Saccharomyces cerevisiae S288C: one gene and its partner. The protein of the gene in region 1 binds, or shares a complex with, the protein of each later gene. Each region holds a gene or a part of one and is shown in the gene's direction. Other genes may lie near its edges. The genes, in order: IMP2 and SOM1.

What was found.
Region 2: IMP2 (region 1) and SOM1 share a complex: the UniProt entries of both Saccharomyces cerevisiae proteins name them as parts of the mitochondrial inner membrane peptidase (IMP) complex.

The regions. Positions count from the first base shown.
Region 1 is NC_001145.3:339,168-342,511, forward strand, and holds IMP2 (endopeptidase catalytic subunit), read left to right. Parts: upstream 1-1,974; coding exon 1,975-2,508; downstream 2,509-3,344. Other genes in the region: ARP9 (Arp9p), read left to right, coding at 1-110; RCH1 (Rch1p), read right to left, coding at 251-1,555; putative tyrosine protein phosphatase MIH1, read right to left, coding at 2,689-3,344. UniProt on the Saccharomyces cerevisiae protein: Catalytic component of the mitochondrial inner membrane peptidase (IMP) complex. IMP catalyzes the removal of signal peptides required for the targeting of proteins from the mitochondrial matrix, across the inner membrane, into the inter-membrane space.
Region 2 is NC_001137.3:41,895-44,843, reverse strand, and holds SOM1 (Som1p), read left to right. Parts: upstream 1-2,219; coding exon 2,220-2,444; downstream 2,445-2,949. Other genes in the region: phosphoacetylglucosamine mutase PCM1, read right to left, coding at 1-1,592; HHY1 (Hhy1p), read right to left, coding at 1,884-2,192; PRB1 (proteinase B), read left to right, coding at 2,891-2,949. UniProt on the Saccharomyces cerevisiae protein: Non-catalytic component of the mitochondrial inner membrane peptidase (IMP) complex. IMP catalyzes the removal of signal peptides required for the targeting of proteins from the mitochondrial matrix, across the inner membrane, into the inter-membrane space.

The DNA.
Region 1 (3,344 bases):
CCCAAATTGTTTCTAAGCAAATTTTCACTCATCCTAAAGATACATTTTATATCACAAGAGAAAAGTATAATATGAAAGGACCGGCTGCTCTTTGGGACGTGCAATTTTAAGAATACGTGATAGATGCTTCGTGTATCCAAAATCCGTGTGAATATGTGCTGTTTAGTTTTTTCCATCCAATGAGGATGGGAAATATATACATAAACGTTATGTAATATATAGAATTCATGCAAAATTAACAAGGGAAATATCACCTTGGTTGTGTATATGGGACGTTGTTCGACAGAACGGATTGATTTTCACCAGTTCCAATTGATATGATCTTTTCCAAATCAACTTCCTCATTCTCATTTGCACAAGATGACTCGCTTCCGTCTGCTTGAGCGTCCTTTTGTATCCATCTTTTGAACAAGCTTACAAAGAAATTTGCCGTCATGACTTGCTCAACTTGATATAAAACCAAGGGAACCAACAACTTACCCAGGTGTTCTTTTTTATCGCCGTATTGTGAAGTAATTAGTGATACACCCAGTGCTGCAGTTTTAGCCGGGCCACAAAACATAATGCAAATCGCATCTTCCTTTGAATAATAAAAAGGCCTAAAGATATTATACGAATAGCGGTACAATCTTGTAGATTTGCCCTCTATTGGTTCATGAGGGAAAAGCTTGAGGATGAACCATGGCCTTGCACATAAGTATGACAGACCCGTGAAGAATATATAAATTCCCAAATTAAAAAAGCAGAGAAATATGATGCAAACATGAGAAACGCTAGTAAACGCATCCTGATAAAAGGCAGTTGAGAATGAACTAAACATAATCAATAAAAGCATGTAAGATCCAATTTTAATATGGTATTTTTTCAAAAAGCCCAGGTAATAAGCAGTACCCTTCGGAAAGCAATTTTGAATAACCTGACCCACAAACAAGGGTACGAATACAGAGAGACCAACCTGTTTCATAACACGGCCATAAAGCGCACCAATGCCATTTCCAGTGGCAGGGTTGCCGTATGCAAATGGTGCGCGGTTAGTAAACATTTGAACCAATGCAGGTGTAATAAACGCACCCAACAAATTTCCAATGAATACTTCACAAACGCACAAAAGGCTATTTCCACCTGCATTCGTAGTCATGATAACGTTTGAAGCCACGGTTGTTGGACAAGTGGCAGTCAAAATTAGACCGATAAGTACCCAGTCATCTATTTTCGGATCATTAGCAGCCTTTACCGCGCAACAAAATCCATATACTATGGACGAGGTAATAAGGAAACTCAGAACCAGAATAGTGGCATGAGCTCTCCAATTTAACATATTTGCCATTAGTGACCTTGATTTCATTCCCAGGCCACTTTGGAGAAAAATCCAGGCGACGCAGCCGTACCCAATACTATATTGGCCTTTAATTAACCCTCCGTCTCTTGCAAAATTCGGAGCAAATCTTGCAATAACGATTAAAATAGCCAAACAGATGAAAAACCACTGGGATTTCAGAAATTCTGTTACTGAATGTGCCCAAATTTTTCGTATTAGAGAGTACTGAGTCTTCATTTGGCACTAAGTAGGTGTATTAAATGTGTGTCTTCCTTCTTTTTGCAAGTTATGTCAGAGTTGGGATATATCGTAGAAAAGGGTGCGAAGGTGATTCAGGTAGCATAGACGGTTTCAGGCAATAAAAAGCTATAAATCTCTCTTTATATAATTGAAGGTTAAAATTTGCTAGATTTTAAAGTGGTTCGGTTCTTTTTTATGCTTTCTTAGCTTCTGGCTGTTCGTTGGAGCTCAGACTTACGGGTAGACCAATGTCATCGAAATACTGTGGAAGATCAAGCTCGGAAGGAGAGCGAGGCTAAGTTCCGAGCTACTGAAAAAAATGGAAAAAACAAGTGCCTTAATTGAATGACTAGATGGGTGCTTGTTAACGAAGGCGTGCTGCTATTCATGAAGCTGTTGCATTGTACTGTACAGTAATGTTTCGAGCCGGATCATCAAAAAGATTCTTACGAAACACACTAATAGCAATTTCATGGGTTCCGGTACTTCTAACAATCAATAATAATGTGGTCCATATTGCGCAAGTTAAAGGTACCTCTATGCAGCCTACGCTGAACCCGCAAACGGAAACGCTGGCAACAGATTGGGTGCTGCTTTGGAAGTTTGGAGTCAAGAACCCAAGTAATTTATCTAGAGATGACATTATCCTTTTCAAAGCTCCTACAAACCCTCGGAAAGTTTACTGCAAAAGGGTTAAAGGTTTACCGTTTGATACCATTGACACGAAGTTTCCATACCCTAAACCTCAAGTGAACCTGCCCAGGGGACACATATGGGTCGAAGGGGACAATTATTTTCATTCGATTGATAGCAATACTTTTGGCCCCATTTCCAGTGGGTTGGTCATAGGGAAAGCTATAACAATTGTTTGGCCACCCTCCAGGTGGGGAACGGATCTCAAACTGAGTACCGGTAGAGACTGCATTAGCAAAAGAGCCATTTTAGAATGAAAATCAGCTTATTTTTATGAATTTAGAAGTGACCCCGGTATTCAAATGCAAATTTTTTATATTATGTGATTAATCTAATGCAATAAATATAGATGATTGTGATTTATGTATTGATGTTGTTGCCGTTCGGTTCCTGAATATATACTTCTTTTTTTCATAATACTTCATGCACATGTAGTATCATTTTTTATCTTCAGTCTCTAGAGAAGGGAATAACGATCTTCTTGCGGGCCTGGGTAAATCTTCTCGGTCGGAACCAACGAAAGTAAAATCTCCGTCTTGCTCTTCATCTCCACTTACTTGCTGATGATTGCCTCTCTCATCTTCGAAACTAAAATATGATGGGGTATCCAGTCCGTCCATTAGTAGCATATGTGAAGTGCTTAGGTTACTGTTACTACTCATAGACGACTTACTTAAGATGGGGAAGAAATTTTCGTCGCCTGTACTCTCACTTGAATTTAATGATGAACCACTAGAGACTCTTCTGTGGTTTAATGACAGCTTCGGAGGCGGCTCAAACCTGAACGATAGTGCAGAAGATGCCATTGTTGTTGAAGATTGATGGCTATCTCTATAAAAGAAGTTAGGATTTGAAGGGGAAGCTAGTTTTCTAAAAGAATTATTTTTAGTAGCAAATCTTTTAGATTCTCTCCTAAACTTATCCATTTCTTGTTCACAATTCAGCAAATTTTCTTGTGAGTTCATTCCCACGTACTGACGTGGATAACATAGTTCAGGAAAATTGTCAAAAACAGCTTTGTATCCGCCATCCAATATCAATATGTCGGGATAGAATAATTTGGGATAATGATCCTGATTTATTATACGATCAC
Region 2 (2,949 bases), on another chromosome or scaffold:
CTCACCGCATCCTCCGTACCACTGGCTCTGACAAAGCTTCTTCCCATGGGATACTTGGCTACCACAAGATCTATCTTGTCTTGCAACCCCACTGGATTGAGCAATTTTCTTTCCTGGTCCGTGGTTTGGAAAATTGACCTATCAGGAACGATGCACTTAACCAGCTTGTTGGGCAAATCAGTATACTCTTCATCCCAATCCATTGGCGACATTTTCAAAATCGCCAAAGTAGCAAGGACAGCAAGCATGTCTGAAATAGCATCTCCCACGGTCTGATTAATCAATTCAGAGAAACACTTCAAAGTTCTCAAAGCTAACGTATCACCATTTAACTTGGACTTGGATAATTCAGATTTGATAGTTCGATGAAATTTTTCGCTGAATATAATCGTACCATGTCCATTTGCTTCGAAATAAATGCCAATATCGTACTGAGTGGCAGCTTCATGATGCAAGTGTTTAACACCTGTCTTAGTGCAAGACACGGGACAGTGCAACGTATTTTTTATGTAAGCGGTGGAACTGCCGTTTGCATAGGCAGTTTGCACAACACCAATCTTCAAAGAATGTTCTAGGTGTGCCAATTCTAGTTGTTTAGACAAGAACTTTGCAAACAAAGTGGAAATTTTGTCACCATCCAACAAATGAAATTTTGATCCTGAGTCGACATAGTAGAACACAACCCTGTCTGCGTCACCATCAAAGGAGCAATATAGCGAATCAAACGAGGATGGAGAAAGACCCTTGGGTAATCTCTGGTTAGTCTTCACATAATCCGCACCGCATTCAAAATTCAACAGTTCTGGAACATCGGACCTGTCGTTGATTACCTCAACTTGCTCCGCTGGCACGTCCCAATCTTCGGAGGCCAGTAGTTTTTTCAACTGTGGACCACCGATACCATTGGCTGTGTCTATGAACAATTTTGGGACAGACAGCCTCTTCTCCAGCTGATACGTGGCGAAGAGCTCGTTGAAGGCTCCTATAAAGAACGAATAGTAGTCCTGTTCTGTGGCAACTGGCGCTGTGTCTCCTTCCAGTTTCCGCCTGTTGGACAAATCAGTAATGTAATGCAATTGAGGCGTAGTGACACAGCCTAGGTCCAAAACTTGCGCGTGGAAGACGCTGGCCATGGAGGAAGTCAAGCAGCGCAGCAAGTATGGACTACTTTCCCTAGAGTCTCTCCCAACCACGATGTGAGGCACGACGGTTGTATTCAAATCAATCTTTTCGTGTTCAATCAGCTTGGCCAACTCAACACGAAATTCTTCAAAATTAGTGGCAAAAGAGGCCGCATTGGCCAACTGCATGGCATATGGCTCCCATGTGGCCAAAAGCATCGATCCGTCTGGTTCCACGATCTTGACCCCGTTGTCCTGGTATGGGTTGTGCGACGCCGTGATCATCACCCCCACATACTGACCCTGAAGCTTCAGCGACCTGAGAACCGCCAGTATACCAGTACTGAACATCACCGTATCCAAATTCTTGGCCAGCGTTCTGAATCCGGCCGTACCGTAACTGAACTGCACATTCTTTGTGCGGCACGTGTCATCGTAGAGTTTGCACAATTGCTCGTAATCAACCTTCATCGTCTCTAAGCTTACTGCTGACCTTTGCCTTGGTCCTTGTACTTGTCTCGATTGCTGAAACCATTAACGGTTTTTTGTTCTTACTTAATCTTTTTTTTCCCGACGACGCAAAATGTCAGAAAAGATATAAATAGAGCAACGTTTCCTGCTACATGAAACACGCTGGCATATAGAAGAACTTCAACGAGCGAGGCTCTCTGAACAATCTGCTAATCGTGCAAGTAAGGGTTCTCGTGACAGTTCACCGTGTATAAACAGATAAACAGATAAACAGTCAGATATGCTTAATTTTTAACTGTAGGCTGTGCCGACATGCCATTTTATGCGGCTCACTTCTAACAAAAGTGACCATGACGCACAAGCAAGCAAACAGCCAAGTAAGGAAGCAGACAGCTTCACAGCACACACACACCGTTGTGTACGAAAATCCTCTGCAGAAGAGTGTATATGCCACTCATCCACACTTCCGCAGCGCAGTACGTAATGCGGTATCGTGAAAGCGAAAAAAAAACTAACAGTAGATAAGACAGATAGACAGATAGAGATGGACGAGAAACAGGGGGGGAGAAAAGGGGAAAAGAGAAGGAAAGAAAGACTCATCTATCGCAGATAAGACAATCAACCCTCATGGCGCCTCCAACCACCATCCGCACTAGGGACCAAGCGCTCGCACCGTTAGCAACGCTTGACTCACAAACCAACTGCCGGCTGAAAGAGCTTGTGCAATGGGAGTGCCAATTCAAAGGAGCCGAATACGTCTGCTCGCCTTTTAAGAGGCTTTTTGAACACTGCATTGCACCCGACAAATCAGCCACTAACTACGAGGTCACGGACACATATACCAATAGTTAAAAATTACATATACTCTATATAGCACAGTAGTGTGATAAATAAAAAATTTTGCCAAGACTTTTTTAAACTGCACCCGACAGATCAGGTCTGTGCCTACTATGCACTTATGCCCGGGGTCCCGGGAGGAGAAAAAACGAGGGCTGGGAAATGTCCGTGGACTTTAAACGCTCCGGGTTAGCAGAGTAGCAGGGCTTTCGGCTTTGGAAATTTAGGTGACTTGTTGAAAAAGCAAAATTTGGGCTCAGTAATGCCACTGCAGTGGCTTATCACGCCAGGACTGCGGGAGTGGCGGGGGCAAACACACCCGCGATAAAGAGCGCGATGAATATAAAAGGGGGCCAATGTTACGTCCCGTTATATTGGAGTTCTTCCCATACAAACTTAAGAGTCCAATTAGCTTCATCGCCAATAAAAAAACAAACTAAACCTAATTCTAACAAGCAAAGATGAAGTTAGAAAATACTCTATTTACACTCGGTGCCCTAGGGAGCATCTCTGCTGCTTT